3 linked regions of the Alligator mississippiensis genome follow. The protein of the gene in region 3 interacts with the protein of the main gene of each other region in a pairwise test. Links are inferred from orthologs where the notes say so. Each region holds a gene or a part of one and is shown on either strand. Other genes may lie near its edges.

Evidence for each region. The genes of interacting proteins can lie anywhere in the genome.
Region 1: the proteins of TRIM63 (region 3) and TCAP interact in a two-hybrid assay, tested with the Homo sapiens proteins (3 studies listed by BioGRID and IntAct). The link is inferred for Alligator mississippiensis from reciprocal best matches to the Homo sapiens genes TRIM63 and TCAP.
Region 2: the proteins of TRIM63 (region 3) and cytochrome b-c1 complex subunit 1, mitochondrial interact in a two-hybrid assay, tested with the Homo sapiens proteins (2 studies listed by BioGRID and IntAct). The link is inferred for Alligator mississippiensis from reciprocal best matches to the Homo sapiens genes TRIM63 and UQCRC1.

What each region holds. Positions count from the first base shown.
Region 1 is NC_081827.1:165,411,633-165,421,990, reverse strand, and holds TCAP (telethonin), read left to right. Parts: upstream 1-6,089; 5' UTR 6,090-6,160; coding exon 6,161-6,309; intron 6,310-6,904; coding exon 6,905-7,325; 3' UTR 7,326-8,323; downstream 8,324-10,358. Other genes in the region: melanoregulin, read left to right, coding at 72-234, 1,072-1,162, 1,650-1,813, 2,133-2,372. UniProt on the Homo sapiens protein: Muscle assembly regulating factor. Mediates the antiparallel assembly of titin (TTN) molecules at the sarcomeric Z-disk.
Region 2 is NC_081835.1:20,054,420-20,064,231, forward strand, and holds the start of cytochrome b-c1 complex subunit 1, mitochondrial, read right to left. Parts: upstream 4,536-9,812; 5' UTR 4,500-4,535; coding exon 4,428-4,499; intron 3,855-4,427; coding exon 3,714-3,854; intron 2,024-3,713; coding exon 1,937-2,023; intron 1-1,936. Other genes in the region: CELSR3 (cadherin EGF LAG seven-pass G-type receptor 3), read right to left, coding at 9,442-9,465. UniProt on the Homo sapiens protein: Component of the ubiquinol-cytochrome c oxidoreductase, a multisubunit transmembrane complex that is part of the mitochondrial electron transport chain which drives oxidative phosphorylation.
Region 3 is NC_081829.1:3,275,333-3,285,698, forward strand, and holds the start of TRIM63 (E3 ubiquitin-protein ligase TRIM63), read left to right. Parts: upstream 1-6,212; 5' UTR 6,213-10,366. UniProt on the Homo sapiens protein: E3 ubiquitin ligase. Mediates the ubiquitination and subsequent proteasomal degradation of CKM, GMEB1 and HIBADH.

The sequences.
Region 1 (10,358 bases), on a different chromosome or scaffold from region 3:
TGGGGCAGGAGCAGGGTGGGGGGGGGGAATGGATGTAGGCCATGGCAATGATGAGGTCTCTCCTTTCGTAGGAGTGAGACGCTCCAGTACTTCAACCAGCTGGTGAAGCGCAAACGGGCTGAGGCCACCAACCTGTGGAACGAGCCCGTGGATGCCACCCACATGGAGCGGGATGACGACCGGGAGCTCTACAACCTGCTGCAGAAGCGGGCCAAGCTTCGCCGGGGGTCAGAGGTCGGTGCCCCTACCGCCATCTGTCTGGGGCTCTCCCCCAGGCTGTGGGACTTGCCTGTATCTCCTGTGGGAGATCATTCATTCTCTGCCTGTGTGCTTGGTACTGGACCTGGGCAGGATTTCGGGGTTCTATTTCTGGGGGATATGGCCTGGTGCAAGTCACTTTTGGGTTTCCCCCCTCCTCAACCTGCAGGTTATGAGCTCAGGGCGGGCGCTTGCCCTCACTCTGTGTGCAGCTTCCAGCACAGTGGGGCTCTGAGGCTCTATTTAGCCTTGTAGGTGCTGCTGGAGCACGCTAAACAATAATTTTCCCACCAAAAAGTGGCTGTGAGAGAAGAAATAAGGCCAGGGGGAAGGACTGTGGTGGGGTCCATGGGGTCTTGCCCAAACTGCTGCATCGCCAGAGCACTGGAGTGTTTTAGCCTTCTCTATGCCTCTCTTTTCCAAGTGGGAAAACTGAGGCATGGAAGCACTGTGGCTTCTCACACAGCAGAGTAAGAGCTGGGGTTAGATGCCAGGAGTCCCAGCACTCGGCTCTCCTTGCTCAATGACACTGGATGCAACCCAGCTGATTCCCAGACCCATCCCTCCTGTTCTAACTTGCTGGACACCATGCTGCTCCTAAAGACAGGATGCAACCCCCTGCTCCACACCCCCTGCTGTAACCACTGGATATGCTCTCCAAAGCATCACTGTCCTATCCACCTCCCATGGGTTTCCTAGTGTGTGGGGCCATCACCTGGCAGTTGTTGCTGGATAGAGAAGGCAGTAGGTGAGGTTTGCCATGTGGAGAGGGAGCTGTAGTCTGACACTCAGCTCTATCCCCCTCTGCTGCAGGGGTACCGGCGCCTGAGCTTTGACATCAGTGCCCACCGGCAGATCCGCCGCGAGGTGAAGGACCGGTGGAAGCACATCCTGGAGGCCTTAGGTATGGACACAAGCTTGGTCAAGGGAGCTGGGGGCAGCTGGACAGCTCTGCCCTCCCTCCTGATTCAGATGCCAGTAGTTAGGGCACCCCCTGAAGCCGTGGTGCACATAGGTTGGGCTGGGCTGTGCCTTTGCTCCCAGAAGGTAGCCCTTTGGGCTGGGGGTCATCCTCTCCTCATTCATGCCCTGTGCTAGGCCCCTGGGATGCCAGCATGACCCCTTGATGGTTGAGGGGATGGAGGGTTAGGATGAGGAGCATGGTAGAGGTGTGCATGGGCAATACTTCCAGCAGAGGGTTGTCCTTGCCCTCCCTTTCCTGGGTGCCACCTCTGTAGAGAGCTTGGTCCAGACAGAGGGCAGAACCTAGGGAGAGGTATGGTCTGCCAGTGGCATTTGAGCCCCTTCCAGCTGGTGGTAGAAGAAGGTTTTTACCTCCCTGATACGCTGCATGGTGCTAACAGGGGCCCTCTCTCCTCCAAACCGGGCAGGGTTCAGCGCCGAGGCAGATGGCCTGCTCACTGTCACCTCCACCATGTCCTACAGCTCCCTGCGTCACCCACAGCAAGCCCGTGCCCTGCTCACCACACTGGCCACAGAGACCAGCCTCTTTGACCGCCACTGCAGCCCCCCAGAGAGATACCTCTTTGTCCTGGTATGTGTGTGGGGAGGGGGCTTCTCCTCGAGGCTTGGAGGGGAGAAGCTAACCAAATGGCTGATGCTTCCACCCCCCCTGCCCTGACTCTTGGGGGAGCTGGGACCACCCTGTCTTCACTGCCGTCCCTGCTCTAAATCCCCTTGGGGGTGCAGGGGGATCCCGAGTCATCACTGTGGGCAGCCTGGCTGGGCCCATACAGCCAGCCCTGCCCGCCACCAGCTCCCGTTAGATCTTGGCCCCCCTGTTGCCTGGGCTCCACAGTGCCCTGCAGCCCCTGCTCTGACCTCTGCCACCCTCGCTGTGTTGCCCTCTCCAGGACCGGCTCATTGTCCTCGACGTCGGTGATGACTTTCTCTCTGCGGCCCGGCGCTATTACCCACTGGAGGAAGACAAGGCCCCCCACAGTGAGGAGGAGCCCCTCAGTGAGGAGGCCATCTTGGTGACGCTAAGCCCAGGGCCTGAGCTGCCCAAGGAGGTGGAGGAGGAAGAAGAGGAGGAGGAGGAGATGGCTGAGGAGGTGGATGAAGACACCCTGCTGGCCAAGCTGATGGAGTGAGGCCTGTGTGTGGGCAGCAGTGGGCATTATGGCTGAGGCTGAGAGCTGTCACCTCAGCTCCTACTGTGGCAGGGTGCCTGGCAAGGAGTGGTGAGCGCCCCTCCAGCTGCAAAGGGGCCAGATGGCAGCTCAGACCCTCTCCTGCCCTCTCCCCATGCACAGATTCCCCCCGCACAATGATCCCCCCTCCCAGCCCTGCAGATCCCAATTTTGTGGTTGTCAGTCAGCAGGTGCTGGGGGGGAGGGAGGGAAGAGCATGACCACCTTGCACTTTCCCATCCTGCTAAATTGGAGAGTGGGAGAGCTCCTTGGAAACTGGGAGGTGGTTGCCCAGGGTGCTTGTTGGTTGGAGAAGGTTAGGATCTCCCCACCCAGCCTTCCTCCAGCACAGCCAAACCCGTCAAAAAATTCAGTGCAACAGGTTCACTCCTGGCCCCTGCTAGCACTGAAATGCAGCTACTTCTGGGGTGGAATGAGCCAGCTGGCTGTCAATAGCTGTTTTGGAAGTGAAGAACATCTTAGCCAGGGTGCAGCAGTGACCGGATAAAAGCTTTGAACCTTCCTTTCTTGTTGGTGTTGATTCTTTGGGTTATCAGCAGTCAGCAGCCCCAGTCCAAGCCAAAACGGCCTGTAGTGACTTGTACTGGTGTTACTGGGAGCAGAGGTGGAGACTCTGCTCTTATATGGGAGAGGTCGTTCTGCCAGTGACCTGCAGCTTGCAGGAGGCCTTGCCCCATTCCTGAAGCATAATGATAGGTGTTACCTGCAAGGGACAGTCACACCCATGAAGTAGGATAGGTGACTGCAGCTGGACTAAGGGCTGGTACATGTATTGAACTGGACAAGGTGGAGGCAGGCACTGTTCTATTAAGCTACCTAAAGTGGTAAGGTTTGCTGGTTCCCCAGGTCTGCTGTTCACACCAGGAAAATAATCCCTGGGGGTTTTATTCCTGAGTTTTTCATCATTTCTCCAGGGGAACTCATGGCTTTTTTAGATGCCAAATCAATCACCTGTCCCTACCTCTACCTCTACCATGACAGTCCTTTCCCAGCCGCCTTCTCTTGCCCTCCACCCATCTGCCCCAACTCTGCCATTTCTTACTAAGGCAGCTCCTTGAATCTTCTGGCCCTGGTTTGTGTCCTTCCCCACCAAAGTTATGCCAAGGCTGTTCTGGGTTCAGTCCGCCTCCCAGCTCAGTCCATGCCCTTTCCGGCCGACCCAGGTGTCTGCCTACTCTCCTCTTCTGGGGCTATAGAGCTTTGCAGTACAGCCGTCCTGCCTCTGATACCCCCTTTGCTATATTTCCCACACCTGTTGTATCTTGTCAGTAAACCTCAGCTGTGAGGGTTCAAAGAGGGTATTGGAGCCATCCACTGCCCATGTGCATAAAGAGCCTGGAAAAAGCTCGCCTTCCTACCCCCCATCCCTTCACATTTCCTCTCACTGGAGCCCAACAGGGATTAGCCACAGAAAAGGCCCAGGAGCAAATGGAACCAGAGGGGCAGCCAGAGCTGGCAGCAACGCTATAGGCTGGCATCAGTTGATGTCTCCGAACCAGGGGATTTAGATGGGCTCAGTTCTAATCAGCCTGCCCCCTCTCCGTACACTCCACCCCCCACCCCACTCATCTTGGCTCCAGGGACCTGTTAGCAGTTAACAAGTCTCTAAATCAGTTTGTTTACTGTCCCCTCATCTCCCTCGATTGCTGCCAATGCAACTAGAGTTTCAAAGCAAAAGACTCCCTTACTAGGCTGTGGCTGGATTGCGCGGGGGATTGGGGGGGCATTCTACACAGCTCTGCTATAGGTCTCTGTGATGAGGGCAGTGTGTGTTGGGGGGGCATTGCCTGCTTGGTTTAGCAGCAATGGGGGGGGGGGGGGGGTCCTCTATTTTGGCAAGGGAAGGGGGGACACTATCTGGAAGGCAGCCAGTTGAGATCACAAACAGCAGCTTGCCCCCCCTGGCCTGAGAAAAGTCATTCATGCTGTGGGCAAGAGCCTCGGGAAGCAGGCTGGGCCGCAGCCCTTGGGCCACAAAGCAGCTGTGAGATCAGGAGGAGGTGGAGGGGGCAGATGAGGCCAGGCTGGGCACCAACCACTTGGCAAAGGGGTCCTTCCTGAGGGCACTGGGAATTGAGAAGAGGCAGAGTCTGCTCAGCTGGGTGCTTATCATGTTCCCCAGCCCTGTGGTCAATGTGACACTGTGCCTGACCCAGCTCAGCTACAGATGGCCCTCAGCTCCAGTCCGGTCCTGCTTAACAAGGTGCATTAGCTGGCCTGTCCTTGCCACAACCCCTCTGGCTCCTAGTTCCACCCCCACCCCCCGCATGTCAGAGCTGGGCACGGGGCTCTTCATGTAGTGGCCAGGAGCTGAATGGCCCCTGTGAGTATGAGCCCAGGTGCTGCTCCATCCAGCTGCTGAGCTGTGGGACTTTTACTTGGCTCAGCACCATGGAGCTCAGCTCTCAATGCCCTTGCTTCTTATTAACAGCAGGGACAGGCTGGGGGAATGTGGAGGATGCATGAACTGAGATCCCACCATGCCAGCACCCTGCCAGCCTGTCCCAGTTCCACCTCTCCCTCCACAGGCAGGTGCACATGGTCATGTGTGTGCTTACGGGCAGGGTTTACCTTATGGCAGTAGGTTCTGCATGGGCCCCACTCTTGACCAGAAAGCCTAGGGCTGAAATGGATGGCTGCCAGTTGCACTGCTGATGTGCTCAGCATTGTTCCCTGGGGACCTCTGAGGGAAGAGCCTGGAATTGAGGTGGCAGCTGCCTCTGCACAGGGGATGGGATGTAATTTAGCACCACTTTGTAGGGAAAGGGCCAGCCAGTGGCCTTGTTATATAATCAGGCTTTCAGGCAGGTCTTGGAATTCTTTTACCCCATGAATGGAAAATCAGCTGATGGGCTGGGCCAGTCAGTGGGTGCATTTCCATAGGGATCAGCCTGCAGTCCATGGGATCAAAGGGGATTTTGGAAGCACAAGTGCAGCAACAGCTGCCCTGCACCCTCCAGCATTCATTCACATGCACTGCTTTCACACTGTCCTCCCAACCTTGGTTGGGGTTTGGACATGGCAGCCTGATGGCTTTGACCTGTGAGGGGAGTGACAGGGGCAGACAGGGTTACGGGGATCAAGCATCTTCTCCTGACAAACATTGTTTGCACTCCCATTTTGGTGTTGAGGGAGGAGCTGGGATCTGCCCCATGGATGGCCTGTGCCAGGGCAGTGGAAAGCAGAAATCCTGGGCAGCTAGGGCAACACTGGGCCTGGGAGTGAGTGGGGTCTGGGCCTGGGGTCAAGCAGGGCTGTTAACAGAATGGCTGGTGTTCTGGGCTAACCCAGGTGTTCCTGATGGATGGCATCAAGGGGTCAGTGAGTGCCAGGCAGTGAGGACATCCCTGGTCCATGCTCCAGCCCTGCTGGAGGGAAGGGACCCATGTGGGACTGCTGTCTACCCCAACTCATGGGATAGGAGAGGTGCAGAGAAAATGTCTAGGAGCAGGAACTTGCTGGAATCTTCCCACAGACCAGTGTGACACACACACAGCCACATGCACACACACACACACATATGCAGGCATGCATCATCACACATTTCCCCCAAGCACCTGCTCGTGCCAAGGGGGCCTTGGCTTCAGTCCATGCAACATGTACATGCTGTGCCAGTGACACCTCCTGAAATAGCAGTGGGGAGGCTATATATGCCCAGCCTGGGCAGCCAAATCCCACAGGCTGAGGCACACACACACCTGCCAGAGGAGCCGGCTCTGGACACAGCCATGTTTGGCAAGAGCGTGGTGCTGCGTAGTGCAGGGCTGCTGTCGGCAGCTGAGCTGGGCTGCCTGGTGCAGGAGGAGGACATGGGACGGAAGGAGTCCTTCCAGGCCGAGTGGAAGGACCTGTCGCTCTCCACCAGGCCCGAAGAGGGGTGAGTGATGATGATGAAGCAGGCTCCCCAGGTTTGGGGGGTGGGCACCAGCATTGCTGCAGCCCCTTCTTGGCCAAAGGCATCTTGCCAACAGGGCTGAAGGGAAGCCTGGGACCCTTTGTGGAAATGGGGCCAAGGGTCCTGGAGCAATGTGTGGCCCTGCCTCAGCCCCTCCAAGGTGCCCAGATAGTCACAGGCAGAGGGTCATGGCCCCTGGGCAGAGCAGTGCCCAGTGCTCAGCATCTCCCCCAGCCCATCCCCCTGTGTCTGCCTCTTTCCCCTTGTTCCTTGGCAGGCCTTTGGCCTCTCCCCACTCCAGGAGGTGCACCACCTCCCAAGTGGGAGGGGGAATGGGGAGGGTCATATCCAGTTTGGCCCCATCTCCCTGCCCCAGCACAGCTCTGCCACCTGCTCAGCTGGGGGCAGAAAGGATCTAAGTGTCTGCTCCTTCCCTGGCACTGACAGTCACCACTTTGGGTCCTGGGACTTGTCTGGGCTCCCTGGCTTGGGGAAGTGTGTGTGTGTGGGGGGGGGGGGGGGGGCATGCCCCGCTGGGCTGTGCCCACAGCTCCCTAATGCTGCCCCCTCCCCTCAGCTGCTCCCGGCAGGAGGTGGATGACCAGCACAAGGAGACATTCTGGCAGCAGCAGGAGACGCGCATCGTGGTGCAGCGGTCACCTTGGCAGGTGCTACGGCTGGGCCGCCTGGGTGAACCCCTGGCCCAGTACCACCTGCCATCCCAGCAGGTCCTGCCCCTGCCCATCTTCATGCCAACAGACCTGAGTGCCAAGGCCGAGCGGATGGCCACCCCTCCCCAGCTGCATGATATGCTGGACTTCGAGGCGGCGCTGGCCAGGGGTACCCAGGCCAATGGGCTTTGCCCAGACAAGACGGCCGTGGCCGAGATCACCAAGGAGCTGCCTCCTGTCATCCCACCCAGCCGGCCCAGCTTTGGCAAGGGTGGCCTGCCCCGCTCCCTGTCCCGCTCCCTGTCCCAGGAGGCCCAAAGGGGCTGAGGATCTGGTACATAGACTTTCCTTTAGGGCTCTGTTTTCCCAGTTTATGGCTCCCTCTGCATGAGAAATTCCCACACGCCCTAGTGTGCTGGGACACATGGTTATTAGACAGGCCCGTTGTGGGGCAAATCCATCCCTAGTGTGAGCTCAGTGAGGCTATGCCATGGCTGCATTAGGCTTGTTGAGTTAGACTGTATGCTCTTTGGGGCAGGGACCATGCCAAGTTTGTCTGACACCTTGCATGCCAATGATTGCTCATATAATCAGGCTGTCTCTTTAAAGACTGTCTTCCTGGAGGGGTTGTCAATCAGCTGTCACAATGGCTGATAGATTTAGCTTCATGGAGCAGGGGACCTTTCCAAGAGACATTACTGCTCTTGGGCCCCCAGCTAGGTGAGGGCTAGTGTTTGGAGCAGTTGATTGCAAGCCTGGACAGTGAGAGGAGTGTGTGTTGGTATCTGGAGCCGGGGGAAGCTGGGAATTGGGACCCTTGGGTTCTAGTCTCAGCCTGGTGAAGGCAATACAGGCTAATGGCTAGAGCAGGTGCCTGAGTCAGAAGAGAGTGAGTGGCTGTTGGGAAGGGTGTGCTGTCCAGTAGTTGGAGAGGCTGATAGGACTCCTTTTCCCTGCTGTGCTCCTGACCTGCTGTGTCACTAGGATCACCTTCCCCTTCCTAAACTGGAGCCTTTCTTTTGGATGGAGTGAATTCCCCTGGGCAGAACAGAGGCTGCTTTTACTGCCGTAGGGTGGGGTAGCTAAGGGTACTGGAGGAGGTCAAAGGGTTCAGAGGTAGGGGTGAGCTGGGATACAGGGCTCACTGCAGCACTAAGGAGAGAGGCTCCAGAGGGCAGAAAGTGAGTGAGCTTGGTGCTCCTTCCAGCAGCTTTTGATTCTGGGGAGGAACCTGCTGCACATGTCTCTGTTGTTCATTGTTTTCCCCTGTTTCCATCCAGGATCACATTCTATGAGTCTCATTGAATAATAAAATAAGAAAAGGCTGAGTGAGTCCTTCTGTTTCACTGTGGGACCTGCTCTGGGTTGGGGACACACCCCAGAAGGATCAAAACCCAGGCAGGCCAGGCAAACACTTCCAGCAACTGGCCCCTTTGCCACTGGGACTTCATGCACAGAGGCAGGACATGGGTGTCTTAGGAGTGGGGAACCCAGAACTTCCCCTGGGGAACCTGACCCCCTCCCCCTTAGCTGAACAGCAGCAAATGTTGAGACTCTGCCACCTCCTTCCTGCCACTGGGGGGAGGAATCAGCAAGGTGGACTCTGAGTAGTTCCTTGGTGTGTCTTGCTTGTGTTTACTATATGGACCATCCTAGTCTCAGCATACAAGCCAGCCACTGGGCCAGCAGTCTTAGCCTACACACACACCTGGCTTCCAGGGAGAAACTCAACCCCTAGAACTGACTTCACTCAGAGATGAAGGAAGAAAGCAAACTCCCACTGCTGGCTACAGCACCCCACTGGGGGATGTGCATCACAGACTGACAACCCAGCAGTTCTGCAGCCTGGAAAAGATCTTGTAAGCCATAAATCTTGTACAGCACAATCTGGTGGCTCCTGCTGGCATAACAGACCCTTTGGATTGATGTTGGGTCCTTTGCCAACAGCCCTGTGGTTTCCTGCATAGCACAGGCATGAGCAAAGCCCATGTCCTCGCACAGGGCTGAGACAGTAGGACCTGGTCACAGGTGTCTTCCAGCTGAGTAGAAAGAGCAGCTGCAGCAACAGCTGCCAGAAGCTACTCTTTTATCCTCTTTGATGCCTGCTCTTTGGTGCTCCAGCTTAGAGCTGTATGTCCAGCGCTATTCGGCAGGGTTGGGATGCAGGACTCCTAGGTCCAACTGTCAGAGCCCCTCCTGCCCTCACAATGAGCAGTATCAGGTTGTATTGAGGACCCACAAAGATCCGGCCTGGAGGCCTGTTCTCCATGCAGATGCCCTGAAGAGAAGCCCCCTTCTCTTTGGCTCTGCACTAGGGCTGTCCTGCTTCCCCTGGGCTGGGAAGGAGGAGGTAGGTATGGGACATGCTGCCTCCCGGACCTTTCCAGCACTTGGAGACCCCAGGGCAGCTCCCCTGGCAGACTTTATTTGCTACCTTTGTGGGGGCAGCATAAGGGAACTCAGGTGTCCTGTTCCACCCTTTTCACTACCTCTCCCCAACCCGGAAGAGCTCCAAATGACCCACCCAGGCCTGGACTTAGTACCAAGTAGAGCTTTGTCATGGAGCGGGGCAGGGGGGGTGTTAAGGGAGAGGGTGTGGTGGGGGCAGGGAGGAGGATGAAACCCACAATGTGTGTGGGGGAAGGTACAACCAGGTGTGTTTGGGGGGGGTGAGAATGGGGTGATGCCCAGTGTGTGCAGGGCTGGGGGGAGGGAGGGGAACTGGCCTAGCCTTCCTGACCTCAGCTCAGGGGTGAAGGGGGGGGATTGACCCCCTTCTTCCCCTTATGCTTCCCAGCCATAGGCAGCACAGCCTTTCTGGGGAGCCCCCACGCACTGGTCTCTCCATCCCTGCTGTGTCCCAAGGGCGCTGGGAGGGCAAGCAGGGCAGGGCTGGCTGCCAGGGAGCTGGGAACAGATGGCCAGGGAGGGGGCACATAGCCAGGGAACAGTGTGCTCAGGCCAGGACAGTACAGCTAATCTGGGGTTTGAGGCCTGTGCCTGGTCTCCCTGTACCTCCCTCCTCCACCCTTCCCTCCACAGGGCTGGGCACTCGGACAAGATACAGGATTTGCCATTATTCAGGTGGCGATGCAGTTACATAAGCCAGACAGCTGGCTTTGCTGGTGCCCGTCCAGCCTCATTATTGGGTCCAGGCTCTTCCTGGCCCTCACTGCTGTCCTCAATGCATGTCTTCTCAGCCAGTGGCAACACCCACCCCCACCCTGGCAGGTATGCCAACCCAAGAACCCCCATAACCCACCCCGCACAGGGCTGGGAGGGTGAGGGGAGGCAGAACCATTGCCTCCTACAGAGCCCAGGACACTGTCCTGGCCAATTCTGCCCCAGCATTGGGAGGGG
Region 2 (9,812 bases), on a different chromosome or scaffold from region 3:
CAAGAAAAATGAATTCAAACTGGACTGGGGTTAGAGAGGTTACTAGGATGATTGTGGGAATGGAGACCTTAGAACGGGCTTGTTTGGTCTTGCAAAACAAAAGCTGGAGGATAACTACTATTAGTCGGGAAAGAGATATTAACACTGGAAGACAACGTTGACAAGGCAGCATGGGTATGAACTGGCCATAAATTTATGCTGGAAATTAGAAGGTTTCTAGCCACAGCAAGGATGCTCTGGAAGAGTCTTCTGACAGAGGTCACAGAGGCAAAAGACCATCTAGATTAAGATGGAGTTTGACAGGTTATGAAAGGGATTACACAGTGGAGTTACCTGCAATGGTAGGAGACAGAACTAGATAATCCAGGAGGTCCTTTCCAGTCCTGTGCTCCTACGACTCAGCAGATGCATCTGCATTACAGCAAGTGTTGTTCAGCAGATGGCTGCCTCTTTAGAAAGGCTAGAAACTCACAGCCATACACAGCCATTCTTTTAACAGCCTTGTTCTTTTCATATTGGATAAGCATGAATACACATTTTTATGCAGGTTTCTCTAGTGTAAATAAATGTTGAGATCAGAAGGAAGTCTCCAGCCCCTCAAGTTCTCAAATGCTAAGCAGTGTTTCCTTTGACCTGAATTACATATCAGAGCAAACCACAGAATCTTTTCAGCCATCTTTATGTCCATAAAAAGATAAAGGGGCTGGTATCTCAGTTAAGCAAATAAGCTCTCTTAAAAGATGAAGCGATTTTTGTTGAAGTGGGCTAAATCAGTGTCATTCAAAATATTCTGGAATTCCCACAACAGTTCTCCTGTGCAACTGTCAGGATGCTGCACCCTTATCTTACATTTACTGGAGTCCCTAACTGTCATGGCAATGACTAGGAGCTCTAATCTCAAAGCTAACTGTACAACCCCACAACCAACATGTGAAACACTCTGGCAAGTTATGCACATGAATCCCACAAGCAATGACAAAAGCCATTGCTCTAAATTCTGCCCCTGCAAAGAATCAAGTCTGTACAAAGACTTCAAAACACTTTATCTGCAAACATGCACTAACATGGGATCGCCTCAATTTTTATTTCCTTCCAAGTATCTAGAGTAGTTTGTTTTCATATACATTATAACTGAGCCAGAGACCTGAATCAAGATTGGGATGCCACCATACTAAGTTCTCTATAGAGCCCTTTCCTTTTCACACAACCAAAGGTTGTATAAGATAGAGAACAAAGATGTGTGCGCATATTCTGGTGCTCAGAAACAGTAGATCAGGGGTTTTCAGCCTTCTGGTGGCAGCGGCCAGACACGGATCAGGGGGGCTTGCACACAGCAACAGCCGTTGCCATCTACGTCACTGTGCTGCCGCCACTACCCACTGCCCTGCTTTCCCATGGCTGGTTGCACTTGTGGCTCTGTGGCCTGCTGACGGGCCTCGCACCCAGCTAATTGTGTGCTGCCTGTCAGCAGCCTGCGGAGCCGTGTGTGCAACCGGCTGTGGGAAAGCAGTGTGCAGCAGTAGTGCAGGGTAGTGGATGGCAGCGGTAGCCACCACATACGAGCCCCCCCACCCCAGCAGGCACCTGTGCAGCCCACAGAGGGGCACCACTGCCCTCGCCCCTCCCCCAGCCCTGCTCCTGGGAGGCAGCAGCATGGGGTGACGGGTGGTGGAGCGCTGTCCCTGCCTGGTCGCATGTACCCCCTAGGACCTTTCCACGTACCCTAGGGGTATGCATATCCCCAGTTGACAACCCCTGTTGTAGATAGAAAAATCCAGTTCCTTATCACAGTCTTGACCCACCAAAACATGAGACAACAAAGTGAATAAAGAGAAAAAGAAATCAAGAGTGGGGCTCCAAAAAACCCAGTGTGATATATAAGTAACTGTCTTGGGCCAAGTCCCATGGCAGTTCCCAGCTCCAGTTACAATCTTACCTTGAATGCCAGATGTTCCACAAAGTAGCCTGCTCCATTGTTCTTTTCATTTTCATAGCGGCTCCCTACCTGGATCCACAAGCCCACCTGAGAAGAGAGATGCCCCAAGTAAATATGCTAAAGGAAATAATGCAAGCAAAAATTAATAAGCTTCCTACAATTTTTTTTTTGGGGGGGGGGGGGGGGGAGGGAAGAGGGTGTCACATATGCACACCCACTGGCAAGAGCATAACATAAGCATATAAAGGTCTCTATCTGTGGCCCCAGCCTTCAGTGTCTCATGAGAAACAATGCTGAGCAAGTACCATCAGATGTGGGTTTTCTGAAAAAATTTGAATTGGAAAATTTTCCAATGCTCTAAATAGAGAATGATCTGATTTAGCACATTTATTTGACTTACATTTAGTAAACAAAACTAAAAAAACACCTCCATATTAATTTTCTGTCTCAATAGCCACAAGTATTTGAACTGAAATATTTGATTAGGAAAAAAATTAAATGCAACACACTTAATGTGGTTTAAATGTTACATTCAAACAAATTCAAAGCTATGATATGCAGAGGTTTCCACTCATCTACTTCAGAGTTTAACCCTCTTCCACCGAGGTCCTTGCAGCACCTCCAGTTTCACTGTCACTAGCTGTAGAATCACTTGCATTACTTATTAGTTCCATTTCAGAATCAGATTGAGGCAAATCTGATTCAGAACTACCTGAACCATATTCTCTTTCGCTAAAGGATAGTTTTACTAATGAGTCTATGGGCAAGGGTAACTTATCATCACACTACATCTTTTTCACAAATTGTGCTTCTGTAGAATTGGAAAGAAGCAAGAGATTTTGAGAAACAGAAATAAGCTTAGCAGTGTGTTCATTTGGTTTTGATTTGACCTGCACAGTGAATTAGGTGAATTTATCCCTTGACTTTTTGGTTTGGATTATTATATGAGTGTATTTACCCTCCTGTTTACAAATCAATAAAACATATATGTACTCTCTCACACACTTCCTAGGGATAATCACCCGAAAAACAATAATTACAGCTTTGAAACTCAGACTTGCTAACACTGTATTGGCATCCAGTCATTGAAACAGTGAATTTTTAGAAATGGAAGGTTTCCCATGGAAAAATAAAGAACTGGAAAATTTTCTGCCTCACATCTCTGAGTACCATATTTGCAGGCAATGACACACTTTGCTCTCCTAATCAGCCTCAGTTTTAGCTTCTTAATTTTCCAGAACTAAAAACAAGACCAGATACATCTGGTGTCACACATGGGGACAATTATTTTGCATCATAGGTTTAAAAGATTACTTTATTTATGCCATGCATCTAGCAATGTTTGCTAATCTTCTCTCTCAATTTGTCCAAGTTGTATTCAACAATGAACAGCTGTCCTGCTCATACGAAAACTGTCTTCATTCAAAAAGCAGTATGGATGAGCAATCTGAACAGAGCACAAAAGTATCACTGGAAGCATTTTAGACTCATTCCAAAGCAAAGCAATCAATACCTTTTGCTACTGATTCCACTGACCAGGTTGTGACCCTAACAGCTAACAACAAAAGACAGACTACATCTCTGCTGAAAGAGGAAGTTAGTCTGAAGTCAGGCAAAGTAGACTTGAACCTTACAGACTAAATTTATAGTTTACCTCCTGCTAGATCTCTGCTGCCAATCTTGGTTCAAATAAAGGCTGTGCTCCTTTGAAAGTCGAGAAACTTGGTACAGAACTGAGTCATCCTAAAATAAACCCCGATTCCACCTTAAAAATTACCGTGCATGTAGGTTGGCCAGACTCCTCAGATGCCACACGGAGGCCATTGTCAAGAGTGGTGACCTGAGTCTCTGGAAGACTGTGGAGTACCTGGGCATAGGAAACTGCACTGCGATTCCTTGTTAAATTCAACAGGGCTGGCTAAAGAGAAAAACATGATCAAACTGTGACTCTCACAGCATAATATAGACTATCTTGCTTCTTTAAGCAAGAAATGCCCACAGGTGCCCAGGCAGGCCACTTCTCTGGGCAGATGTGATATCTTTTACTAGACCAACTGAGTATTTGGAAAGTTTTTTGCTAGCTTTTGGGCGCAATCACTCTTCTCCAGGCTGCCTACCCCACTCCACAGGCAGGCAGACAGCAGGGCACGACGGGTTGGCACTGCGTGGGGAAGGTGCAGCTCTGCCCCTCACTCCCCAGCCCCCGCCCCGGGGTGCTGCTGTAACCCCTCTGCGCCTGCAGCCTGCCGGCCCCGCAAGGGTTAACGCAGGCGGGCGCGGTGCCCCCCCTTTTGACGTCACCGAGCCCTCTCCGAACGTTCATCCCACTCTGCCCCCCCACGACGTTTCCATGGCGACCGCCGCGGGCAGCGACCCCATGACCTTCCCCGGCGCGAGGGCCCGGGCGTCCCCCCTCGGACCCGCTCCCCGCTGCCAGGATCCGCTCCCTCCGCCCCAGGTCCCCGCCCCGTCCCGAGCGGGCGGCGCTCACCGAGGAGCGGGGCCCCCGTAGGAGGACTCGGCCCGCGGCGCAGCCGGCCCGACACACAGAGGAGGCCGCCATCTTGCCCTACAGCGGCGAACTAGCTGGAGGAAACAACGCATGCGCCGGAAGAGGTCATGGGCAGGGAAGCACACATGCGCCAAAAGACGGGTGGCGCATGCGCAAAGAGCGAGGCAAAGGGGTACGCATGCGCAGAGGAGGTGCTGGAGGGGCGGCTAGGAGGTAGCCTAGGAGTGGGATGGGTGGGCGCGTGCGCGCTCCCTGCTGGTGGGAGGTGCGGCAAGCAGGGCTGCAGGAGGTGATGGAGCAGGGGGAGCTGCAGGGCCGGGAGCCTGCAGCAGCAGGAAGGTAACTTAAGGTAGCGTGTATGAGGCTATGTATGGCACAAAGCGAACTCAGTAGGCAAAGGCACGGTGCAAAACAGAGTGACCTCTGTTTTATTTAACAATCAAGATCATCATCAATAAAGGATCAGTGGGATCCCTGGGCTTGCTTGCCGGATGCAAACAGGTAATACTGAGGTGTGATGGTTGACAACGAGACTTGCAATGTGTTTCTCACGTCCAGCCTCCTCCGTCATTGCAGAGAAATCCACTTCACAAAGATAGGTAGATGGAAAAGGCAGCAAGGTCTTCAGAGCTAGGGTGCTGAGTTCTGGATATTAGTCCTTAATTTTAATCCAGGACGACAGAGATGAGGTTGCCTTGAACAATGTTTTAAGTCCTTTGTCACATGTTAACTCAAAGTGGTGGCAAGGACAACTCCTTGCGGGCATTCAGAAATGGATCACGGATCCACTGTTTCCCGATTCTCGGATTGTTCGGCGCCCGTATCCTCGCATAGCGACGCAGACAAACGTGAATTCAGTGCACGTGCTTTGATATGATTGACAATATGAATCACATCACTCAACACATACTTCAAGAATCAATCTTTGACTTGCCAACTTTTCGCGGTGAATTGCACAGTGGGTAGACTTACATTCAGGTGCCACTTCTTTTACCCTGGTCATGAAGCCAGAAAGCTTTCCAGTCATCATAGCAGCGCCATTGGTACAAAAAGTCCCACAGCTTCTTCTGAAAAATCCACAAAATTCTGGAACATGTCAAAGACTCCCCTATCCACATGTTTCCCCCAGGTTTTCGGCTTGGTTTTGAAGGCTGTGATTTTATCTGCCATTTTAAAAACAGATGCCATTCTCCCTTGCATCGAGAGAGTGAGTTTATTCAGTACCGTGAATATGTTGCTCAAATAAGTGAGCTTAACAAGCCAGTTCTTGTTATTGAAATGCACAGCTAATGGTGATTTTTTGTCTGAGACAAATCTCTGCAACTGCTTTCTTGATTCAAAGACTCTGGTCAGGGCCTTCCCTCTCGATAGCCAATGATATTCTGTATGCAGGAGAAGCTGCTTGTGTTCAGCGCCCATATCCTTGCATAGCGATGCGGACAAACGTGAATTCCGTGCATGTGCTTTGATGTGATTGACAGTGTGAATCACATCACTCACCACCTCATGTAGTTCAGGAGACAGTCTTCGACTTGCCAACATTTCGCCGTGAGTGGGGCTGGGGCAGGGGCTGCCCAGTTGGGGTGGGGCACAGGACTGAGCAGCGCAGGGATGGGGGGCGGCTCCTGGCACTGCGCGGGCCCTGGGAGGGCTTGGGGGGGCATGTGTCCTGATCTGCATGCAGGGCAGGATGGGCTGTGGCTGTGGGCTGGGCTGGGCTGGGCTCAGGGCAGGCAGCAGCGGCACTGAGAGGTTGCTTTGGGGGGACTACGGCAAATTCTGGAGTGGCTGCAGCCCTCCCTTGTAGCCCTGCTCCTGTAGGCCCCTGTGGTGAGGGAGTGGGGCTGCTGAGGCTGGGGCAAGTACTGCATAGCCAGGTGGAGCGCTGGACAGAGCCGCAGCTTGCCCGGGGGCCATGGGGGCAGCTCCTACCATTGCGTGCACCCTGGGAGGGCATTGGGGGCATATGCCCCCGGATCTGTGCGCAGGGCAGAGCAGGCTGGGGCCAGAGCAGTGCTGGGCTGTTCCTGGCGAGGGTGTTGGGCCAGGCTGAGCTGGGAGGCGGAGTTGGGGGGCTACAGTGAATTTTGGAATGGTTGCAGCCCCTCCTGTAGCCCCACTCCCAGCACTGTCACCACCTGCCCTGGGCACAGCCCCACCCAGCCACCACTGGGAAGAGCCCAGTGCCGTCCCCAGCATGCCCCACCCCGCCCTGCCTCGTGAACAGATCTGGGGGCATGTGTCCCCCACCATGCCCTCCCAGGGTGCATGCAATGGTGGGAGCCACCCGCACCCCCCCCGCAGAATGAGCCATGGCTCCATCTTGCAGTCCGCCCTGCTGTTCAACGCCTGTCCTGGCCCCAGCAGCCCCACTCCCTCCCTCACTGTGGGGGCTTATAGGAGCGGGGCTAGTGCCACGACCGCCAACCCTTTGCAGCCCGGCACCGGGCCATGGCCCGCTGCTTGGGAACCTCTGACATATGGTATCACATCACATCATCACATATGGCACAACACACATTTTTTCTCTAGTTAAAGAGAAACCAGAAGCTTTACTATTATACTGGGGGGGGGGGGGCGGGGGCAGCTCTATATTATTTGGCTTAAGATCAAAGCAAACAGCAAAATAACTATTGGAATGTGCACTGATTTGCTAGATTGTGTAGTGATGGTGTAGCTGTGATAGTCTGGAAATTATGCAAGAGGCAAGGATTTCTTTGGGTGCTCTCAGAATTTTATCTGGCCAGGTCACCTGATTGACCAGCCAGTACCAAGAAGAAACCCAGGAGATACAGGGGTCACTTGATTTGTCCCAAGTGGCAGATACAGGGGGATTTCTTCACAGACAGCATCTCCAATAAGGTTTAGAGGTAGAACTAAAACAGTGTGCAGGTTGTGAAATAAATGAGAAATTAGTAGGAATGGTTACCAGCAGAAAGTGTAACTCAATTAACGAAACATCAACACCATTAAAAAGGAGAGAAGGTCATAAAACACTTGTGGAATGATGAGAGATTAGGAGAAATCTGTTACATTATAATGAGCCATGAAGTCAATGGACCCCCACAGCACTGCCTGAACAGAAATACTGCTGCCTCTCCCAGGCAATTGATTTTAAAGTTTGGCTGGAGCAGGAATCAAGAAGGGGGTGGGGAGAAAGGTTGCTGCTGCACCTACCCTTGTCTGCATTACACTGCAGACTGTTGGACAGACAATTGAATTGGCCAGGCGTGCAAAGAGCTGCCTTTGAATGAGGTAAGGTGCACAGTCAACACTGGAGCCAGGCAGAGAGGCTTTGGCATGATGCTCTTTGCCAGCCCTTTGGTTCAGCTCAAGTTCCACACACCTATTCCATATTTTATCTGATTGCTCATGCCCTGTTGCATTCTGCCTTTTGGCATGGTTGCCCAGAGCAGGAGTGCCCCTCACTTCGCTTAGCAAAGCAGCTTCACAAAGTATTGAGAGGGGACTGGCAGAGTAAGACTGGGCTTAGTATGAATCACATCATGAAAAGGGAGCGAGTGGCTCTAACAATTGGGTCAAATGAAATTCTCATAAATGGGCACAGAGTCTTAGGTCGGAAATATGCCAGTTGTTAGGAAACAGCAAAGAGATGCTTCGAGTAAAAACACATTTATTGAGAAACAAATCAGGATCATGTTATTAAGTTAAGTCCTTGGTACGCAACATTAATAAAGCATAGATACCAGAAAAATTACAACTAATTCTGTGTCTGCAAACGTTGCGGCAGATCAAACAGGCTATTCAAGTGTTAAAAACATATTTCTAGTCCTATATTTACCAGCTGTATACCCTTGAAACTACTCAGTAGGAAATGTTGCTGCAGAGTGTAGCTGAGCTCATGGGTGACTGGTGCCTCCTAAGACTGGGGGGTGGGCAGAGTTTGTGGGTGGCAGTGCTGGCGGTGGGGTGGCAAGTGGCAACTGCCTGCAGAAGGCGGTGGCAGCGGTGGAGGGAGGTGGTGTACAGTGACCACCTGCGGCAGCCAGCGACAGTGTCGGCAGTGGCGAGGTGGCGAGCGGCGACCACCCGCAGAAGCTGGCAGTGTGGCAAGCGGCGAACACCCGCAGAAGCTGGTGGTGGCAGCATGGCAAGCAGCAACCACTCGCAGAAGCCAGTCGCGGTGGGGGGAGAGGCGAGTGGCGACTGCCTGCAGAAGCCGGCAGTGGCCAATCTCAGGGGGGGGCACATGCCCCCCCCTACCAATTGCTTATGGCTGAACTATTACATTTTTCCTTCCCTAGCATATATGATTTCATGATTGTCTCAGTCACCACAGTGAGTTGATAATAAATAACCCTAAGCATGACCCCTTATCTGAATGTTTTCTTGCTCTTCAGTAAAACTCTGTACATTGCCATGTTGTGTGAATAAGTCAAGTTTCTGGCTGTGGTCATGATAACCACAATATAAGAGAGGCAAGTGAGAAGGGAATGGGGGAGATGGATGTGGCTAGGCAGGACCCAGACTTCATGGCGTTTCAGTATTGCTCTCTGTCGAGAGTTTCCCAGACAGTCAGTGGAGCTGTTCTAAAGCACCATGTATTCAAACAACAGTCACGTCAGAGATGCAGCTTCCCTTCCCCTCATGCTGCACCCCAAAAAAGTGACACACATGGTGCCAGACAAGCTCCCCATGTCTGAGGGGATTCCCAGTTGTAGGAGATCTTGTGCCGTGAGCCCAGGAGATCCCAGGTCTCTCCAGCATCAAGCAGATGCCCAGCTGAAGGAGGGTTTTGAGGTAGTTTCCCAGTTGCTCTGGTGACTGAAGTGGTTTCCCAAGGGTAGATGATCCCAGATTTCCAAGGTCTGAAGCAGATGCTCAGCAACAGGCAATCTTTGGTCTTTGATGGCAGGACTTCCCTGTCACCTGCCCTTGCAAACATCAACCAGCTCAAATAATCTTCTGGAAACATACCTTGATGGCTCCCTCTCACCTGTTGTGCTTCTGGGGAGGGTGGATGCCATGATGGCTACAGATGAGTGCTGGGAAAAGTCTAAAGAGTCAAACAACAAGAGGATTTTCTTTGGTTTTGTTTTGCTTCCCCAACCTCCTGGCTTCCTCACCACTACAAGTCCTGCTTTCCCCCCTGCAAGGCCCTCACTCTTGTCCATGCAGGATCTCAAGGCACTGGAATGTTTTCTCAGCATGGCAGTATGTGCGCTGGGCCCTCTGGATGGGATGGAGTTAGTAAGGACCAGCAGAACTGAAAAAAGGACTGGTGAACTGTGGGCAGGGCTGGGGACATAGGTAATGAGAACATATTGGCTGGGTAGGAGCAGGCATGCTACCATAGCTGATGGGAAAAGGCTGCTGATCTAGCTGGTGTAGTTGGAAGAGACA
Region 3 (10,366 bases):
TTCCTTGAACACGTCACACGGGTGTTGTGAACAGACCGTGTCGCCTGCGTGTGTAAATACGTGCACGTTTACAGGGGCCTGATCCAAGCGCTCGCTCCCCTGCAACGCGACAGCTTAAAACGGGGATATTTAAACAAAAAAAGAGAAAAAACTTGACGTGGCGTCGACGTGCAAGTCTGCGTGTGCGCATGTGAAGCTGACATGCAAGCGTGTGACGCAGGGGTGTGCGTGCGTGTGCAACTGATGTACACATGCACGTGGGGTGTGTAGCCAACAAGCAAGCGAGAGCATGCACGCGTGAAGCCGACACACAAGTGCGTGAAGGGCGCACGTGCGTGTGCAACCGACGTGTGCGCGCACACACGCAACTGACACACGAGCGAGGAGGAGGCGAAGCGTGTGCAGGTGTGCGCGTGCATGTCAGCCGTGCACACACACACACGCACGCACAGTCTGCGGAGGGGGGTGCACACGCGTGCGGGGGCAGCGCACACACGAAGCCTGAGGAGGGTGCGTGTGCACAGGTGACGTGTAAGTGTGTGTGTGTGGGGGGGGTGCGCGTGTGTGTGCGCGCACAGCTGACGTGTAAGGACGCGGGGCCGCGAGTGCGTGCAATGACACGCCGGGAGGGGTGCGTGTGTCAGGCAGCCCACAGCCTCGCCTCACCCCGCCCCGCAGGAAGCCGCCGGCAGCCGAGGCGACCCCCCCCCGCCCCCGGGCCAGGGCCAGGGCCAGGCCAGGCCCAGCCGCCGCCGCCGCCGCCGCCGCCCGGTTACCTCAGCGCCGCGCGCGGCCGCCATGATCGGCGCCTGCCCTTCCCCGCGCGACACACCCCCCCACGCCGCGCGCATGCGCGCCCTGAACCCCGCTGCTGATTGGCTGGAGCGGCGCGCGCCTCCTCCGCCGGCATTGTGGCGCGCGCCGCCTCTTCCCATTGGCTGAGGCGGGGCCGGGGGAGGGGCTTGCGGGGCTGTTCCTGGGCGCGCTGCGCTGTGGGCGGGCGTGCAAAGCAATGCAATGCAATGCAAGGGGGAGGGGAGGCGCGCAGCGCAATGCAAGGTGGAGGTGGTACAACGCAATGCAATGCAATGCAAGGGAAGAGGGCGCAATGCAATACAATGCAAAGGGAGTGCAATGCAGGGGAGTGCGGGGATGCACGCAGCTGGCGCGGCTTTGCTGCCGCTGCCCCTCCTCGCAAGCCCAGCCCCGGCTCTAGTGCAAACGGCCCGGATCGGTTGCAAACCCCCCTCCCCCGGCAGCCGCAGCCCCACCGTGCCGGTCATCCCGTTCGCCGGACCCTCCTCAGTGTCCTCCCCCTGCTGCGGCCCAGGCCCCGCGGGCTGGGGGCTGCAAAGATGCTGGGGTGGGTGGGGGAGGAGGACGACCCCCCCCCGGATTGCCCCCCAGCGATGGGGTTACGGTGCCCAAACTGCTGCAGGCACATGGCGGGCAGTGATTTGGGGAGATCCAGAGGATGGCAGGGTGGTACCTTCCCTCAAAGGGATGCTGCCTCCATTGTTCCAGCTGGGAAATGGGCAGAGCCCCTGTCCCCCGCCGGCTTTCAAGGTGTTGCACCGGGCGCAGATGCCAGGCGGGAGCACAAGCCTCGCGGCACTTGCTATCGTGTGGCCTGGCAGCGGCTGCACTAGACCCCAGTGCACCCCCCCCCTGGTAGCCCCTGTCCGGATGCTGGCCCGGCTGCCAGCCAGTGATCCTCGCGCCCGTGTCGCACCCCGTGTCGGGGGAGCCGTCCCTGCCTGGCAAAACGGAGGGAGCAGACATGTCCTGGTCTAGATCTAGGCTGGTTCTTGCTCTGCCTGAGCTGGGCATCACATCTCCCTAGTCTGAGATCCTGTCCCAGCCCAGGCCGGAAGGGAGGAAGAAAGCAGCTTGGCCAAGAAACAGCCCTTTCTGACGGCTGAGCCTGGGCCCTCTCTTCCTCCGGACAGGGGGCACGGCTGCAGGTCCGGTCCCCTCTCCAGGACGCAGTCTGGAAGGCCGCGTGGGTGGCGATCTGCATTCCCTGGATGGAGCTACCCCCACGCTCTTAGGAGAAAGCAGGACGGTCCGGCTGAGACAGCGAGTCTCTTGTACCGCAGGTTTATGTGCTAAACCCCGAGGAACCGCTGTCGGGCAGCGTCCGTGCTTGGTGGGGCTGAGAGAAGAGGAGAGCATGTGCTGTAGTGGGGGCATCTTCAATCCCGCGCTAAACTGTGCTCTGCACAGCTTTCTGTACGCCATCCTGCCGCAGGGGGTGAACGAAACCGGAAGAACACCAGACCAGCGAGCCCAAGGCCCGGTCTCCGACAGTGGCAGATAACAGATGCTTTAAAAGAAGAGTTTATGAACCAGGGTAGAATGATTCACCCCGTCCTACCCTCCCAGCCCCAGAAGTGTACTGGCTCTCTGGCCCTTGGGCTTCATAGCCCCTGACAGATCCATCCTCCAGCGTCAGTCTGAGCTCAGTTCTGACCTGGCTGGTGATACCGTTGGCTTCCCCCAGATCTTGCGGCAACGCTTCCCCCAGCTTCTTCATGCCTTGTGTAAGAAAGTGCTTCCCAGCGTTTGTTTTAAACCTGCTGCCTGGTTCGCTGTGGGTTGTATGCTTGATAATGGAGGCCACCGTATGGTGGCGAGTTACCTAAGAAACCATTTAAAAGTTTAAGTGGATACTATAATTAGCGTTTAACCAATTGTAATGGATTGCTCGCGAGTAGTTCAGCTATAACCCTTTCTACTGATGAGCTTAATGCCAGTCTGTAATGCATACAATCCGTAGTGCTAGCACACTTCTAACATCTAGTACACCTTTATAAACTATACGCTTATCCTTACTATCAAGACAACACACTGCAAATGCTTCAGATATTTGACCAACAGGTGTTAAGTGAAGAACGTGCATAAATCTTTACAGGACTGGAGCTATCCACTGTTCCTTGTTACCGTAGTAAATAGAAGTAGATGATAAGTGATGATCTTCCCATAAGATTGAATTATAAATGGATGATGTCTCTTTAGCCGGGTCAAATTCCTTGAGTGAAGTTGCAGTGACATCTAGCGGCTAATTGAGCCCTTAATGGGGTCCCTAAATTACCCAAAAGATCTGGCTGCTGTTGGGGGGGGGGGAACAGCTCAATCAGTTCAGTTTCATGCTTGGTCCCTGGGAGTTATGCAGTAGTTCTGGATACGGGAATTAGCCAAGGGCCTGCCACGTATCGAGGCAGTCTCAGGGGAGGCGGCTTCTACTTGCTTTGACTTCAAATAGACCCATCTTTTTTGTAAAGACATTTTTTAGTGTTCCAAGCCAAATCAGCCAAATCAATTCCAAATCCGTGAGTCAGTCAAGGACCATAAGTGGCCCTACTACCGGCAAACATCTTCCACCCCACCAGGGGCTGCAGATGTTTCCAAATCCTTTGGTGGGTATCCTACGCGTAGGCCCACGCCCGGAGGCTTGGGGTTCAGATGCCCTCGAGTTTCGCTTGCCCTCAACCGTACAGCCGCAGGAACAAGCTAGGGAGGAGTCTTCCATTTCCATAAAGTGGGCATTCAAATAGACCATGGGTGACTGGTGCCGCCTTAGTCTGGAGGGGCATGTGCCCCCCCTGCAACCAGTCTTGATGCCTGGGGGAGGGTCCCCTGCAGTCAATCGCAGCTACTTCCAGGGGTGGCCGTGGCCGCTTCTAGGAGCGGCTGCAGCAATCAGCCAGCACTTGTAGAGGGGGCACCGGCATTCCTGCCTGCCCCCCACCCATCACCTAAGTGGCAAGCGTGACCGATCAGGGGGTGCACTGGCATTCTCAGGGGGCTCGCATGCACCCCCGTGCACATCACCATTGAAATAAACCCATCTCTTTTGTCATTTGTGTAAGCGTGGTAGGAAAACTCAGGCTGGGAAGAACATAACAGACCACAGCCCAAGCAGCAAGCCCCCACCGCCCATCAGGTGACTGAGCTGAAAATCCCAAGCCTTGCTCAGGATGGGTCCATGGGACAAGCAGATGGGCTGAGCAGAAAAGCAGGCCCTGATTCTGTCCTCTTCACTTCGACAGAACGGGGATGAGAGCAGTCTTTATCCTGCAGGGCTTTGGCTTAAAATATACTTATTGCAGGGCATTAGCATCATCATTACTACACCATAATTTGCATGTATGTGCAAGCACGTGCTTGGGATCTGCCGACGCCTTCCCAGCTTTTTGGCTCCTGGGTCATTGGTTTATTTAGCTGCTGGGGTGGGCTGTGATTAAGCCACAGCTTTTCTTTTCAGGCTGGCATAGGGAGATGTGCCAGGCCCGCGAGTCCTCAGTTAAGGGCATGGGGCTGAGAATAGTCACAGCAGCTATCCTCTGGCCGGGGGTAAATAATCTGGGATTGGGGCACTAGAGGTCGTGTTGTGGTGTCTGGGCTACAGCACAGATTGGCAAGCGCTTCTGGAGGCAGGACAGAGACAGACCGTCTCTGGGGTCCTGCCAGAAATCAGGCCCAGTGGGAGCGCTCTATTCGGTGCAGAGCTTCAGTCTAGCAGGGATGATGCCTGGCACTGCCAGGCTGGCCTGAAACCTGTCACTGAGACCGTAACGAATATTTTGGTCTGTGCAAGGGACAGCACCAGCGTCTCTGGACACAGACCCTCTGTTGGCTGATGGAGCGGATCCAGGTGGGCACTGGCAGTACCAGTGCAGGGCTTCTTCGCTGTGTGCTGCACAAACCCTTCTGTCTTGATAGCAGACCTGGGAGAGGATTCATGGCCCATTCACTCCTATCCTGGGTCTGACTCCAGTGACATGGATACCTGTTACTTGGGAAATGCAATGAGCCCTGCATGGACCCATGAACCAGGACTGACAGCTGCTCTGAGCTGGGCTGCATTTGATCTTGCAACGGAGGTGAAGGCTTCCCTGGCCAATCTCTGGAGCCATGTGAAACTCTGGAAGAAAAACAGATCTTGCAGGTGATTTTCCCAGTGACTGCATCAAGTGAGAATCCATGGGGTGAGGCCTTCCACCACATCCAGCCGTCTGCCCTGCTTTACACAGATACCCACGTGGTTTAATAAGGGGAAACCTTCACCCTGGATAATTAATTTAAAGTGTCTGTTTGCTCAATCCTTTTTTCCCCCCATGGATCCAAATCAAATGCAGCCAGCCAGCATGAGTCTAGCCTCAGGCCTCTCTTCTGAACCAGTTCAGCTGCAAGAAGAGTGGCTCAATACAGGAATTACTCAGGCCTGTGTTAGGTGGAAGTTCATATTAGATGCTCACAGTGGTCTGTGCCTTGTAACCTTACAGTGTCTGGCTCCCTGAGAGGCAGGGGCTCTGGATCTGTACCTACACTGTGGGTGGGACCTGGCATCCCAAAGAAAGCTAAAAGCATGGGCTTGAAATCTAGCTGTAGACCCGAGCCTTTGGCTTTAGGTCATTATGAAAAGCACTCCAATGCACTTTGAGTTGGAGGTGGGGAGCCCAGCTTTATACCTCTGCAAGCAATTCCAGACCCACAGCAAGAAAATGAGCTTGACTGATTTATGCTGTAGCAGGGCCAGGGAGACGGAGGTGATGAGCTCCTCCCCGAATTGCTCCCCCTCCTGTTACAGGTAGGGGACAGGTGGATACAGACTGGCCCTTGAGGTCCAAGTTCTCTCTGTACGCTTCCTGCAGTAAAAAAACCAGAGCCCCAAGGTTCAGGACTTTGATCCTGTGCTTGGTCGGCTCCCTGGCTGTTCGTTTCTAGCTCCCCGCTTTTTCCCCAGGTGGGTTCAGACTGTCCTTCGCTGTGCTCAGGTTCTGAATTGGCGCTGGCAGGGCGGCAGCGCCTTACAGTGGCCAGCAGGGACGCCCTGCTACACAGTCCGTGCTGCCAGCTGTTTGAAAATTGATATGAAATGATTTGCTTTGGCACAAGCTAATAAAAGGGGAAAGCAGTGGGAGGGGAGGAGAAACACCGTGGATCTCTGCTCCCATTCTGGAAGCCTGGGCAGTCGGAGATTCATTCAACTCCCTTGGCTCCCCTGTTGAGCCAGTGCCTCTGATAAAGGCCCAGGAGCTTGATAGGAAAAGCTCCAGTGCTCCCATCCTCCGGCTAATACATGGATCCTTGGATTCTGCTTTCCAGCCTGCGGTTTCTCTCTCTTCCCCGCTGCGAGCGGGTTCGTGCAGAGGTGGAGCTGTGTGAAACTGGATCGGGGATGGGTCTGGTGTGTGGGCTGCAGGCGATGAGCGGTGCTAGCATTATTTAATGCAGATTTGCTTGGATAAAAAGCCCAGGGTGGCAGGGCTGAGTCGTCAGAGATTCGTTCTGAACCTATTCAGCCATTTAGTTCATTTTAGGTTTCCTCTCCTTGATGGAAGGTTGTTATTAATTTCAGGCTGGATTAATCAACTCCCTTCAGATCTCACCCAGATTAATTGATCGTCTGTCCAGCACTGATTAGCACATCCTATAGACTTGACTAATCTAGCCAGAGCTAATTAGTGACACAACTAGTCTCTTCCAGGCAGCCAGCCTGAAGCTGATTAGTATTGCCCAAGCCAGAGCAGCCCATCCAGCCTTCTTAATCAGTTTTATCCACAATTAGTTAACCAATTTCACACTAGACTAGTCCTTCAGACTCGCTCCATTTCCAAGGCAGCTACTGCATATTACCTTCATTTACTTGGGTCTAAACTGCCTGATCTAGAACTAATGAGTTTAGCTACCAGCAGGATTCACTGATTAGGATTCAGCTGTGTCAGATGGGTCACTTCAGGTTGCAGCAGGTAGGTGTTGTGATGAGATGCTTTTAAGGGAGGAAAGAATAGCATTCTCATGCAGAAAACACGAGATCTAGGTATTTCCCCTGCATTCATGTTATTCCTTAATATGAGTTTCCTTAACTCCTTCTCTGTTTGTTGCTTCATGGAGCTGGATCAGGAGGTTTCGTGAGTATAAGCAGCAGCTCAGAGGCCTGGCAGGAAGAGCTGACCTGGGCAGTTTCTCTGGGCTGGGCACTGGGCTTTAATGCCCTCCATATAGAGCTGCTGATGAGTCAGGAGTGACAGACAGCGGCTGATGGCTGGGAAGTGCAAATTCTCTCAGGCAAAGCCTGCAGTGTGAGGAGGGGTGGGAGCCTGCCAGCCAGTGCCTATAAGTCCTCAGAGGTAGGTCAGGCAGCGAAGCTTCTTGAAGGAGATGGGCCCTCTGCTTTGCGTGCGAAGGGAGAGCCCTGCATGCAGCCTTGCGTTGCAATGCACAGTGCCCCCCACGGCACCCTCAGCAAGCCCCTGGCTGGAAAGGGAGCAGGTGGTGGCTGAAGTGCAGTGGTGTAGGGGTGCAGGGCAGGGCTGGATGGGCACTGGGGAGGATGGACTGGTGGACAAAGGGCCTTGACCTTCATGTGCAGCAGACACAGGCTGCTTGAGTCCCCCAGCTGTGCCCTGTGCTCCTGGCAGCAGCCCACATGCTGAGGGCCCCTGAGTTGCATTTCAGTTTCCAGCACTTCAGCGTGGCCTGATCCTGCAGCAAAACCTCTCCGAGGTGGCACCTCTCCCAAGCATGGTGTCCATGCCTCTCACTGCCACTGGATTGCCAGGGCGGGCTTGGATCCTGGCTGCCTGTCGAAATAGTGGAGCAGCTGGGGGAACTGGCCTCTGCTTCAGCTCGGTGCGATGTTGGTCAGACTACTTCATGGTTTTATGCTGGGCTGTCCAAGCACTTGGAGATGCCCAGGTAGTAGGTGCTGCAGAAGGGGGAAGCACCAGCCTTAATGGCAGCCACTTCAGCATGGAAATGCATTCTGCTAACATGTTTGATGCTCGTGCTCACCATGTGGCTTCACCCTTTTCCCTGACATCCTCATGCTAGGCTGCTTTGGCAAGCTTCGCCTGGCCTACAGCTGGCTCCCCAGCTCCTCAGGGGCTGATACCAAATCCAGAAACTGCTTCATGCATGGCTGAGATTTCAGCCTTTCCCCAAAGCTTTCCCTTCCAAGCAGCTATCATCTAGGTCAGTGCTTCCCAACCTCTCTAGGCCCCAGCCCACCCTACTTGGAAAATGCTAGCTCTTGGCTTTCGCTCCATTTTTGACTACAGCAAAATACTAGAGCAATTCTGTTGCAAAGATCTCCGATCGCAATGGGGCAGGGTGATTGTGACCCTCTGGAGAGCCCTGGGGCTGTCGTGTGAACCCCGTGTAGGTGACTGCACACCCAACAGTGCTTATCATGTCGAGCCCTGGGGCACCCTCAAAAGGATCTCGGGGGTACCCGGGTTGAGAATCGCTGGTTTAGGAGCAGCCTGAAGGTGAGACCCTGACACAGGCCCCCAAAGAAGAAGGGACTGTACTGCAACACGTTTGCTGGGCTGGTGTTTTTTGAAGGGGAGGCAGAGAAGACATAAACCACAGGTCCCGACTCACACTTTGAAATGTGAGCGGTTGCCAGCCTAGAAACAGCTCTAAATAACAGCTGTGCCGTGCCTAGCTGGCCACAGAGACCTGTTACTTAACTCTCCTGCAATAAAAGACAACAAACAACAGGCCGTGTCCTGGCTCTGGGACCCACGCGGCCCCAATGCACATGATGAAGCTGGCAGGGCTCTCCGATCCCAGGAGATCACAAGGATCAGGGGATCAAGTGTGGCCTTGTTCCTGGAAGCAATGGAGCAAGGAACAGCACCAAATGCTTCTGGGCTTTTAGACTGCAGGACTTGACACGATCGGGGACTGAAGTGGAGGAAGTTCGGGGTCAGGGTGGCTTCTTCCTTTTTCCCCATCCTCCTCCCTGGCTCTGCCGCTGACCAGCTGAACCATTGCTCCGCTCCTCAGCAGAGCCGTCCATGAAGCAGGCAGTGAATAGTCCTTGCCTGGTCATGCTGCAGTGGTCCCTGGCACTTCCCCAGTCACAGAACTGCTGCGTCCTGGGGCTAGGAGCAAAACTTCTTGCCCCAGATAGCTTCGATCAGCAAGAAATAGTTCATCTGCAGGGAGTTATACTCGCTGCTGCAGGAGCCGAGTGCATTCAGGCCTGCAGTGCTGAGGGCAGCATGGATGCCTTTTGTGCCTGGAAAGCAGCTTTCCAGCAAGCCAGGAGGAGCATCTATGCAAGGGGCAGCTCAGACCTCTGCTGCAGAGGGTATGGCCTGTATGAGCAGAGATGCTGACAGCTGCTGGCGCTCACCTGGAGAGCCTTGGATGCAGGGATCTAGTCTGCCCAGGCCCTTCTGAAAGTGCCCCACCTGCCTCTCTGGGCATCCCCTCCCCTTTGGCAGCCTGGCCCCCAAGCCCTGCTCAAGTAGGGTGCAGGATCCCCTCCAGCCTGCCTTTCCTCTCTGCCCTAAACAGGCTGAGCAGCAATGGTGGGGCCTGAGCGGCTCTAGGGACAGGCAGCAGATGCTCAAGCCTCTCATTTGCAGGTCACCTCTAGCCCTCACCTGTTGCAAACTGGCTGCTCGGTGCCAGGGCACAGCTAGCTCGAAGGGTCTCGGGCACCAGGGGAGAGGTGTCTGCGTTCCCAAGAAGCACCCCCCAAGCTGGCATTAATTGGCAGCCTCCTTGTTGCCCCATCAGCAAAAAGCTGCAGCCTGAATGAGCAGCCCTGGTATCTGGAGGTGGGTTCTGCCCATCGGGGCACAGACAGCCCCCTCCTCTTCGACATGCCAATGCCACATGGACCTTCCCAGCCTGCCTAGGTCTCTTGCTCTCGGTGAGGTCTTAGGCCTGGGAGATGCTGTGTGTGGCAGCTGCTGGTCTGGAGACGTTCCCTGGCCTGATGTCTGCTCTCCAGGGCCCGTCCTCTCTGGTTCCACGCGTGCAGCCCTGGGGAGTCTCCCCACCTCTGGATGCATGAACCAGCTTTGGGTTGTAGGGGGGGCATTTATATGCAAGAGGCTGCAGGAGTTTCCCTGTATTGGGTCTCTGCAAGCACCACAACACCGGTGCTGGAGCGAGGCAGGGGTAACAGGCTACGGACACCGGCTTAGGGGGCAAACCGGTCTTGTCTAGCTTAGTCCCCTCTGCAGAACAAACCGTGTCCAGCTGGGCTGGGCTCTGACCCCGGCACAGCTCCTCTGCTGGGTCCCACAGGACCATCTTCCCACACCCCCATGCATTTGGGGCTCCCCTGGTGAGCTGCCTGGCCTGTCTGCTCTGGGAAATCCCAGTCCCAGGTGTGGTCTAGGTTTGGGGCTGGTTCCCTGTGGTTTGGTGAGTGCTCAGGCCACGTTTCACACCAGGGCACAGCAAGGATACAGGGTGGTCTACTGACCTGCCAAACAGCGCAGGTAGCAGCAGGTGCTGACCTGTGTCCTTAGCCCCTTTCTTGGCTGCCAGCCCCAGCCCTGAGCCCTATGGCACTGAACGGGGATGGAGGGGCCAGCCCAGCCAGCCTGATGCC